Linked DNA regions of Rhinolophus ferrumequinum. The protein of the gene in region 1 interacts with the protein of each later gene in a pairwise test. Links are inferred from orthologs where the notes say so. Each region holds a gene or a part of one and is shown on either strand. Other genes may lie near its edges. The genes, in order: TFG, MAPK1IP1L and CSTF2.

Region 1 (3,749 bases):
TATAGACTTCACTAATTGGGGATTAAGTATGAGAAAATTATAACATAACGAACCTTAAGCTGCTTTCAGAGTGCACAAGCCCCAATTCCTCCCCAAGGACACCCATGGGTGCCTCTCTTCCTAGCTTCCAGCTGGCCCCAGTATAACAGGGACCCGTTTATTTCTCCTCAGTGGCAGGACTCTTGAGTGTGTGCCCCTTTCCTGGGAACTTAGAGAGAGGAAATTCTTTCCCCTCATTCCAGGCTAGGGTTTATTCCCTTAATTTCCTGCCCCAGGAAACCTCTTTTTAGGAAGATTGAGAATGATATAGTTATTTTCCTTCGGGGAATATTTTACCTCTGCCAATTTTTGAGTGTTTTTATCCAATCTCAAACCAACTCAAAGACATCAGAATACCATAATTGGACAGCAATTTACTTCCCCAAACCTGGATTACTCAATTCTAAATAACAAGCAATGAACAATTTTGGGAGAAAATCAGGAACTTTTTCCATTCCTTCTAGCCCTTCGCTCCCCAATTCCTGCAACCAATTGCTCAAAGAGCAATACAGAGTGTTGTAAAATACAATTCAGAGGCTAAAAGCATTCTAACCTCACATATTTCCCTCTCAAAAAGATTTGTTCAGAGACTCATGACTGCAAAAAGATCACACTATTTATGGTATTAAAAGAACATGAACCTAATTCAATTTACCCCAGGCCTTTCTTTCTGTTGAACAACTATGGGCCAGATTAATTTGAATTGTTTTTTGCTTAGTCTCTGTCTTATAAGACAAAAGTTGCTTGCAACTTTTAAAGTAGCGCTCCCTACCCCCAAATTTCACCTCCCCCCAAAAAAATGTAGGGTTCAGTCTGAGTCAGGGCACTTTTTACATACACACACGTATTCAAAACAAATGTTTTAGGTAAGAGAGAGGAGTATGTAGTGCACACTCGAATACCTTATCTTCCAAAAAGGCTTCTAGGATACTTCATCAGCCTTTATTTCCCAGCCTTTACCCATTCATAGGTTTGTCCTGTCACGTAAACGCCATTGTAAACTTGCTCACAAACCGATTCATCCTCATAGTGCTCGGCAAGGAGTAGGCGTCCAAAAATGAATGAATGAGTTTGTAGAAAAGCGGGAAAAAGTTTAGTTTTTTTTCGAGATATGACGAAGAGAACTACAAGGGTCACAAAACAACAAGACGCAAACTTGGATACATGCCCACTTTCAATCGGCTCTCAAATAGATTCCAGAACAGTAAACTATGCTCCGCCCACGAACGAGAGACGTGAAATAGTGTACACGCTTTCAGAAAAACCGGAAGTTCCTGGTCATGCCGCGCGCACGCGTGCATGCGTTCAGCTCGCACTTACTACACTTGTTCCTCCAGTGACAGAGCAGAGACTCCGGTCGACGTCGGCCCGGAACTTGCCCGCCCCGCGCCCCCCGGCGTTGCGCATGCGTGCTGGGGTGGCCTGCTCGCTGTGAGGCGGGGCGAAAGGACAGATTTTTTTTTTTCTTGCTCCCGCCCCTCTTCTTCCCCCACCTGCCACGTACTGGGCCCAAGCTCTCGCTAGGCTTAGTGGGTCTGTGCGATTGGCTGGGTCCCTCGCGAGCCTACGAGGGAAGTGCGGCGGCTGCGGAGGGCAGCCGAGTGGGCCGTGACCGTACCCTCTCTACGACGCCCCCAAGCCCGGCAGCCTTGCACCAGTCCGGCCAGCGGAGACCTGTGGAGAGGCGGCAGCAGCGGCCTCGGCAAGCCGGTATGGCCGCTGGAGACGGGGGCGCGGCCGCTCTCAGACAAGGCGGCCAGGAGACAAGGAAGCGCTGGGAGGGCCTCGCTCGAACCGGCGGGCGCCGGGCATAGGGGGCCAGAGGGGCCGTGAGAGGGGGCTGGAGGCCCGAAGGAGGGAGGCCGGGTGGGACCTCGCCTAGGGGAGGAGAGGCCACAGCGGGGAGAGGAAGGGCATCACACAGGCCACGGAGGCGGGTGGGCTTTGGGGGTGGTTGGACCATCACGCGCTCTCGCGCTTATTCCGCCTGGCTCCAAGGGGTCGGAATGCTGGACGGAGAGGAGAGGTGATCGGGGAGGCCTTGGGCGCCTAACCGCCATAGGGTCTTGCAAGGGTGAGAGGGCGGAGAATGGCGCCAATAGGAGTAAATTGATTGGGGTCACTTCAGGGGAACCTCGTTCCTTGGCTATGTCAGTGCTTTATCAAGCGCCGTCTGCAGACCCAACCCAGTTTTGTAGTGAGGATGATAGCTAACTCTTAGAGTTTACTAGGCACTGTACAAAGTATTTTAGATGCATGATCTTATTTAATTATTCTAAGGCTCCTTCCAAATTTAAATATTATTCCCATTTTGCGTTTGATGCCTAAGGACACGTGACTAGTAGTGGGAATCTTTACGGTCTTAACACATTGCCTTTGGTTAGGCAGAATCGGAGGCTCCTTGTATTCTTTGGAATAAGCAGGGGTTGATTTTGCTTAGAATTTCTTAAAGGAAATTGCTACCTTCCTGACGTGCCCAATCACACCCCTGTGATTTTGAGCAGGGACCTACCCACAGGGTTAATCTAGCTGGAGGTTTGGCCACAACCTAGATCCTGGTTCAGGATGCAGGCTTCTTATGTGTCCTTGGGCATGTCACTTTATTCTCTAGTGCTGAGAACAGTGTTCCTATTGGAAGATTTCCTTAGTGGCTGTGTCATTTCTGGACTTTAGAGGGAGTGAGGCAAGGACAAGATGGGAGGAGAAACTGCTGTAAGGATCTCACCAGCACTCCTGGTAACTAGTAGTTAGAGAAACAGAGGCCCTGAATTTTACTATTACATTGTATAAAACAATGGGGATGGATGGGATTTCCCCTGGAAGGGAAAATTCTGTGGTACGATTCGTTTTCTGATATTTGTGCATGCCTTGAGGAGATAACTGCACAAACTGAGGACAGCCTTTGGAAAGAAGCCCTGGTTCCTCGCCCCAGGGAATTGAGTCAATGGGAAATGCTAAAGAATAAGTGAGTTTGCAGGCAAACATGCCGATACGAAGTGAAAGAGACTCAGACTCGTGTTTTCAGATCCATTGGTGAGCAACAATCCTTCCACAATCAAAAAGACATACATACTATCAGTAATATTCGATGTTGGAAATTTCTTTTAGGAGTATGTTGGCTTTCGGGAGTCACTTCTAGCTTATAAAGAAGGTACATTGTGAAGGTCTGACTTAGGAACTGACTAGATAGTACAGCTTTCTTCTCCCAGTTGGTTTATCAGAACTTTATTATTCCTCATTCATCTCTTGTTCAAGGAACAAAAAACAAGTCCTTGCTTGCTATATGTCAGGCTCTATTCTCAGTGTTGCTGAGAGTAGATAGTACCATTTTGCTGAAGCTAAGCCTTGGTCCTTAACTACTTTATTGCTGATTTACACAACCTGTAGATAGTAGAAGGTGACACTGATTGACCGGAGTTCTTTATTACTCTCAGACTGCAAGGCAAACAAGGTGGAATCTTCATCATCTTGTTGAAGTAATTATACTTCAGAGCTTGGCATAAGTACGTATTCAGTAAATTTTTCCTGAATAAAGGTCAGGATAGATTAAAGGTGAAGAGGTTGTATGGAAGTTTAAGTTAATCACAGCCTTCATGAGAAGTCCGTTGTGAGAATTTGCAAATAAAAACCCTGACTATTCTTATTTTACATGAAGGCGAGCACAGCATCCAGGTTATGGAGCACAATCCATTCTGTTATGAACTGACTTT
Region 2 (3,749 bases), on another chromosome or scaffold:
GAAATCACTTTTTAACAGCCTCATGCCAGCTGTATTTTCTATACTTATTCAGATACTTGTTGGAACATATGTACTATGCACTGTTTTGTGTTTTGGAGAAATGGATACCGTGTTTCCCCGAAAATAAGACCCAGCCGGACCATCAGCTCTAATGCATCTTTTGGTGCAAAAATTAATGTAAGACCGGGTATAATATAATACTGGGTATAATACAATATAATACCGGGTCTTATATTAATTTTTGCTCCAAAAGACGCATTAGAGCTGATGGTCTGGCTAGGTCTTATTTTTGGGGAAACATGGCAGTATTGCATGGAATAAATACTTAAGGAGTTGACAGTCTGGTGAACTACCATTTAAACAGTAACTTGGGGTAAGCAGAGGGCTCTACGAAGTATCTCCAAAAGCTCCTAAAGGAATCAGGAGAATTAGGGGAGGAATCCTGAGAAGTGGTGCCTTTGCAGTCTGGAAGAACAATGAGGAAAGAGCTGGAAGTACGGGACAGTGGGATAGGCCTTAGGTAAGGCCTTTGTGCAAAAGCTGCAAGGGAGGTGAGAGATGCTCTGTGGGCAGCGTAGGCAGGTCAGATTGTTTGGAACATAGAAAGGGGTGTAATATGAAAGCCTTAGCAGAGAGCCTTTAGACCAAGATTTGAACATCTTAATCAGCTCATCTGAATGAACGGGCCAGTAATGTGAGAGACTAAATGGGACTCGTAAATCAAGTGCTTGTAATAGTGCTTGGAATATAGTTAGTGGGCAACAGACATATTCTAATCTTCTTTTGTGTATGAGCATATAGCATATGGTTAAGAGAGTGAACACGAAAAGTATGACTCACTAGACAAACAGCAGTTCTTCACTGGCTGGCTCTGGACAAGCTGAACTCTCCAAACCTTAGAGGTAGAAGTAGACAGGAATAGTATCCAGCTCACAGCTACCGCTGTGCGACTTACATTATATTCTTATAAACACATCTTTCGGTCACTGCCTGGCACATAGCAAAAACTCAACAAATGTTAGCTTTTACAACTGCTTCTGTAGGTTCACAAACCTTCATCTGCAGTTCTCAACCCAGAAACTTCTGAAAGTCAAAGAAACGTTCTCAAGTTTGGCATAAAACTTACTTGGCGGCAAAACCTGACCTAAGGCTATTTATAGTTTCCATTAATTCACACCTATTGCTGCAGATATGAATGTTGGATTAGGGGATGCTGCCCCCACACTGCTGGGGTGTTATCTGTCTATGCACTTTTATCGTCTTTCTAACATCTAAAGATAAAATTCAAAGGCTTCTGAAATTCAAAACACACTGGTCCCAAGAATTTCGGTTAAAGGAAGGCTCTCTATTCCCCCGGGAGAGAGGAAAAGGACATGCCAATATTCGCAACTCAATTCAAGTTTGAGACAAACTAGTTTTGAACAAGAGGTTCAGAGACACTAGCAGCAAGAAAACTTTGTTTTTCCTGCCCAATAAACACTACTGAACAAAGAACTTCTGAAAGATTTCTGAAGACTACCTTCGCCTGTAGTAAGGGTTCGTTTTCAAAACAGGCCTTTAAAACCACCAGGTGTACGTGTATTTCTTTAGTAGTAATGCCATAAAAAATTTTTTCCAGTCAGGTGACTATGATTCGATGCTTCAACATTTTAATCTTTATTAAAAGCACTACTCTTGGTTTTCAAAGAGAAAATGGGTTCAGCTATTTCTAAGCTACCATGCATAACATAGGCTCCTAAATCCTAAAAAAATAGAGTATTACCGAACTCAGTAGTTTTTGTCATGGGTTTCATGTAATGTATTTGCTAGCAACTCTAGAAATAATGATCAGGACGTTGTCACACTGCGGATAATCTTAAACAAGGGTCAACGATTTCTGTAAGAATCTCTTCGGGCCTGGCTCTTCCCTTTTATTAGAAATTAATGAATGGGAGATGTCGGGGCCGAGGATCTCGTGGTCGAAAGCTCTTTAGGGCCAAAAGGAACAAAGACAATCCGGGACCAACCGGAGCGAACCGGCCGCGGAGCGGGTCGCTCTCGCTCGGGAAGGGGTGGGGGAAGGGCCGGGCCCTCCCTCCGCCCCGCCGCCCAGCCACGCCTGACGTCAGGCGCGGAGAAACCCGTCGGGAGCGACGTCACCAGGCCCTGACGCCTTCTCCCTGGGGGGCGATCAGGGGACAGTCCAGACCCGGAGGAAGATGACGGGAAAAACGTTTAGCCCTGGCCCCCGAAGAGCGACTCGAGGCACCCCCGTGACTGCGCCCGCCCTCCCGCTCGGGCGCGCTTCCTCGCCCGCTTCCACGACCCTTATTACCGCCGAAGAAGCCTCACCCGGCAAGATGCGAGCCCACAGCAAGGTCTAGAAGCGGCGATGGGTCCGAGGGAACAGGTCGCTGAAAAACCGAGGCAGTTTGACTGACAGCAGCGGCGACGGCGACGACGGCAGCAGCAGCACCAGCAGCAACACCAACAGCGCGCGGCTCCTCCTGGCGCCGGAACAGGAAGCGCCCAACTCGGAGTTCACCGCCCCCGCCAGTGCTCCCCCCGCCCCCCTCGGGGCCGGGCCGTGTGCGCCCCCCGCAGGCCCTCGGTGGCACTGCGGCTGGTCAGGTCTCCGCCGTGTGGCTGCTTCTCGCGCTCGCCCCTTGGCGGCTGATTTCTCCCGTGGGAGAGAGGAAAGCTCCCCGGTTTTCCGGAGATCTGAGCACTCAGAAGAAGCGCCTGTGGCTGGTGACGTTCTGGGCAGCCTGGTGGAAATTGCTAACTTGTTCCCTGGAGTGGCTGGAGGGCAGCTTCTGGATTCCCTGTGCTCAGTGGTTTTTACAGCCAGGCCTCGAAGTTGGCTGGGTGTGGATGCGGCCCAATTTGGGGACGTGGACCCTTGGGCTAAAATTGGGGGGAGCTAAAGGAACAAGACGTTTGCGAATGGCTTGGCAAATTGAAATTAACTAAAGGAACAGCTGTCTTTGCATATTTTTCCTGATCAATGCCTCTTCTACGTTCATCTTTGAACAAACCTTTAAGTATGTACTGTGTCAGGCCTGAAAGATTGACACATGGCCCCCGACACCAAGGAACCTGCTAGCTAGTAATGTTATAATTATGTGGTGTGCAAAGACATATACATATGATACGCACATTTTATCTGTAAAAGTATGCAATATTCTTACATTTTGCTTCATGTAAGCTTTTAGTGGGTCAATGGGTGGATATTTTACTAAACTTCTTAAACGAAGACGTCTCTGAATATGCTCCACAGCACACATAATCCTCATCCTGAAAAATGAACTATAGTGTAACTTCAAATACCTAAGCCTAGAGAAAACAGATTTTTGGATAAAAGCAATGGTCTATGAAAAATGATTAGTGTGACCGACCTAACCTGCCCTCAGGAGGCAGTGAATCAGCAGTGTCTTGTGGAGCCATAAGGAAGCCTGAGGCAAAAAGAAAAGTCAGTAAAACAGTGCTATCTTTATTTAAACTTTTTGTTTTTTGCTCATAGGTTTCCTTTTGTTGTTTTTTTTGCATTCTGGTTTTAATATTACTTTTCATTACTGAGTTTTTTGGTCAAAAATTTTTTATGCCCATCACCTTAATCCTGGTCATGGGTATCAGAGTGACTGATGTCCTCCAGCTTTTCCCATGTTCCCAGCCAATAACAGCATGGTGGGAAATTCCAGTTAGGTAGGTCATTCCTGTCCCATATGTACTCCTACAGGGAACCTTTGCTTGGGAACTAAATCCTCATC
Region 3 (3,749 bases), on another chromosome or scaffold:
TATAACCAGTAGAGTAGGGTTGGTTGATGAAATGATAGAACCAACAGTAAGTTCTCCACAGATGATTAATCGCAGCAGAACAAGCTCTGGCTAAGTGCTTCAACCTAGTCTTGGGTGGTTTATTATATTGTGAGTCATTGACCCAACATCCTCAGGTCACATGCTCTAAGTTCTTTTCCAGCAATGGTAATATGTTGAGCCACCCATATTCTCTCAGTTATCCTGGGAGGCAATAAATACAGCAGTAAGCGTTCAGTCTCTGGAGCCAAAGCAACCTGAGTTCAAATCATGCTTTAGCTGCTTGTTGTGTACCACCGGTCAATGATGTTTCCTGTTCTGATGTTTTCTGAAACCCTGCCGGCCAATGTCCTCGGCCACCCCGCCCCGCCCCGCCCCCATTACCAGAAACATGGAGCCCAGGGGCTAGACCAGCGTAGACGTGGGTCTGTTCTCCCTTTACCTCCCCATCTGCTCAGCTATGTTAACGCCTTAACGTTGAGTGCCCCTCACTCTCTTATTCTCTAGGCTGCTGCGATTTTCTTTCCCCATCGCACTCCGTAAACTCACAGTATTTGCAAAATGACAATGTGCACGCCGCTGGGGCGCGGCCAAGCATTTCCCTCCCCCAACAGGGCGTAATTAAAATGAAAGTGCCATGGTTGTTAGCAAATGACTTCTCTGTTACTATGGTAAAGCCACTGCTTCCATCTTTATTGTGGTCGACAATTACTTGCGTTAGCCTAAGTAAAACATGAACAATAAAGGCTTCAAATTAGCCTGGGCCTACCCGAATCCGACCGTGAACGACAGGCGGCAGCCCTGCCCGGAAGGGTTAATGTTCTCTTGGAAGTAACGTGCGCGGCCTGTGACGGAATGACGCCAGGGGAGGGGGCCCTGCGTCCGCCGGGCCAGGTGTTTCCGGTTCACGCACAATACGGAAGCCTGTTGGGCGCTGGAGGCACGCGCCTTACGGAAGAGTGCCCTGGCGCACCGGAAGCCTCGGGAGAAGAGCGATGGCGGGTTTGACTGTGAGAGACCCTGCGGTGGATCGTTCGCTACGTTCAGTGTTCGGTGAGAGGAATTCGGTGGAACCAAGCATGGGGAAGGGACAGAAAGAGGCAGTGAGCGGCGAGGAACGCCCCCTGCATCTCATGAATCGACGCGGGAACCGGTGATGGGGCCGGCGTGCAGCTCTCCCTGCCTCCTGTGCGGCGGGCAAGCTGGTGGACTCGTGGGCAAAGGGATGCTCCCCTTACTCCGAGGTTTTGCAGCCCTACCACGATGTGGCTGAGGAAGTTAAACTAGCGTTCAACTTCTATGCGTTTCTCCTTTCACGAGCTTCAATTTTCTAGAAGCGAATGCGCATGGCAGCTGTCCCCTACTACTTCTCATCCCCTCTCCCAGAATACAGATTATGTGCTGGGATCCTTGTGTCCACTTCCCGCTCGCTCCTAACGACTTTAATCCTCTGCTTTTAGCCCGTAACATTTTAGTTCGTTGGTAGTGGTAGCGGCAATCTGGCGTCTTAAGGTGGATTGTAAATAAATGAATGAATGAACGATTAAGACCTCGTCGAAGAAATTTTAAAGAGGATCGAATCTATTCTAAGGAATCTTTTCAGCCGAAATAAGTTGTGTTTTTAAAGTATGTGTGGTGATTTTAAATCACTTTTTGGAAGGGACATGACAAAACACTTAAGAATAATTATTAAACATCTTCCACTACTTCCACGATCATTCTCCTTTGAGTGTGTGTGGGGGGTGGGGGAGTAATCCGGACATATGAGCCGGTTTTAAGAATTAAAATGTTGCTATTTTTAGTAGTTACTGATAAGACGTGCAGCCCTTCAGGTAAATAGCAATGCCTAAGTATTTTTCACCAAAGTTAAGGAAAATCCAACACTTGTCAGATCAGTCTGAGAATTGATAAAGGTGTTTAGAAATGTCTACACCTTTTGTATTTAGTTTCAGTGGTTTATTTCTCTTGCAATTAAAGTTAGCCGGCGAGATTGAAATCTTGGAACTGGGATTGGAGGAGCACTGTATTTTGAGCAAGTTGTCACATTTTCTGATATAAATAGGTACTGTATTTTCTTAATAAAGATGTAGGTTACAAACTCAGAATTTTAATGTTACCTATTTTCTTAGTGGGGAACATTCCATACGAGGCTACTGAAGAGCAATTAAAGGACATCTTTTCTGAAGTTGGACCTGTTGTTAGTTTCAGGTGAGGTTCCTTTTCACTACCTGGTGGGAGTTTCTTTAAAAATCATCACAAAATTTGGCCCTTAGTAATTATGACAGGGTTTATACTGGTGACTTTTCACATGCATTCTCCTTTGTTTGTTTGTTTGTTTGTTTGTAACAGCTTCATTGTGATATAATTCACATACCATGCAATTCCCATTCATTTTTACTAAAAGATAGATTTCTTTAAATGTATGTGGGTATGGGCAGGTGGCATTCAAAGTGCATGCCATTTTCAAATATGCCCAGACTTCTACTCTCCGCTAGGCACTTTTGTGTTTCCGATGCACGTGTTCAGCTTCAGGGTCAGCCAGGTATGTGTAACTGGTTTGGGTTTCCTGCAGAATCTGCTGCATGTGCTCATAGTCAAGCCAAAAAAAATATGCTCTCTCCAACAAGGATTACAACCTCATGCTAGTGGAGCTGTGAGCATTCCCTACTCCACCGCCCCTATAATTGTTACTTCTACAGACAACACTGCTGGGTGAAGGCTTTTCCCACCACACCAAATTGCGCAAGCCCCTTCACTAGTCACAGAGAAGTTACTGGTCGTTATGACCTGTCCTGCCCTGGAAAATCTTCTTGTCAACTGAGCTGGGGGAGGGATTCATTTTTTTAAAAAAAATGTTTATGCATGTCAACTGTAATTGGTAAATTAAAAAAGAAGTGTTTAAAAAATATTTCAGTGAGTGATAAGGTTATTTGTCTTACAGTTGACCAAATTGGAATATGGCAATGTTAGCAGGAACCCTGTGTGTATGTAACATTTGTGCCTATACTTGGTTGTGCTCTCCAGGTTGGTATATGATAGGGAGACAGGAAAGCCAAAGGGTTATGGCTTCTGTGAATACCAAGACCAAGAGACAGCACTTAGTGCCATGCGAAACCTGAATGGGCGTGAATTCAGTGGGAGAGCACTTCGAGTAGACAATGCTGCCAGTGAAAAGAACAAAGAAGAGCTGAAGAGTGAGTATAAACCCAAGTTGTATGCAACACGAGTTAGTAAAGATGTAATAATGAAGATTTTCCATTTATGATATGTTTTAGCATCTGCTGAAATGGTTACCCACTCAGCTTCTTTACTTGACCCACCTAAGGTGTTTGCGTTAGGGAAGTGTATATCTTTGAGAAACAAGGTAAAGTTGACTTTAGAAGTCCTTCAGTTGCCAAGGAGTTGATTCCAGTTGAAGATGAATTCAGGCTCACCAAGTGATTAGTGCTAACTAGGTCGTTGGTGTTTGCCACTCCTGTAACTATGTGGCCAGATCTGTATGTGGTGGGGATATTAGCATTCTTACGGCTTTTTTTTTTTTTAATGAGGTTTATAGATCCAGGAATTCCATTTTGATATTAGCATATTTTTCTGTTTAAACCTTTTGCTTCTGAAATGGCTTGCCAAAGAAAGTTAATGTGCCTAATCCCTAATTTAGGTTAACATTGTCCACCTATGTGATCCTGGTCCCAGCTTTACTCTTGAGAACAGAAAATGCATTCTGTCACTTT

Evidence for each region.
Region 2: the proteins of TFG (region 1) and MAPK1IP1L interact in binary tests that used the Homo sapiens proteins (3 or more experiments, as listed by UniProt). The two-hybrid records come from large-scale screens. The link is inferred for Rhinolophus ferrumequinum from reciprocal best matches to the Homo sapiens genes TFG and MAPK1IP1L.
Region 3: the proteins of TFG (region 1) and CSTF2 interact in binary tests that used the Homo sapiens proteins (3 or more experiments, as listed by UniProt). The two-hybrid records come from large-scale screens. The link is inferred for Rhinolophus ferrumequinum from reciprocal best matches to the Homo sapiens genes TFG and CSTF2.

What each region holds. Positions count from the first base shown.
Region 1 is NC_046285.1:29,840,479-29,844,227, forward strand, and holds the start of TFG (protein TFG), read left to right. Parts: upstream 1-1,499; 5' UTR 1,500-1,749; intron 1,750-3,054; exon of another isoform or gene 3,055-3,072; intron 3,073-3,749. UniProt on the Homo sapiens protein: Plays a role in the normal dynamic function of the endoplasmic reticulum (ER) and its associated microtubules. Required for secretory cargo traffic from the endoplasmic reticulum to the Golgi apparatus.
Region 2 is NC_046289.1:38,248,186-38,251,934, forward strand, and holds the start of MAPK1IP1L (MAPK-interacting and spindle-stabilizing protein-like), read right to left. Parts: upstream 2,930-3,749; 5' UTR 2,332-2,929; intron 896-2,331; 5' UTR 841-895; intron 1-840.
Region 3 is NC_046284.1:53,627,740-53,631,488, reverse strand, and holds the start of CSTF2 (cleavage stimulation factor subunit 2), read left to right. Parts: upstream 1-959; 5' UTR 960-1,013; coding exon 1,014-1,071; intron 1,072-2,147; coding exon 2,148-2,226; intron 2,227-3,042; coding exon 3,043-3,212; intron 3,213-3,749. UniProt on the Homo sapiens protein: One of the multiple factors required for polyadenylation and 3'-end cleavage of mammalian pre-mRNAs. This subunit is directly involved in the binding to pre-mRNAs.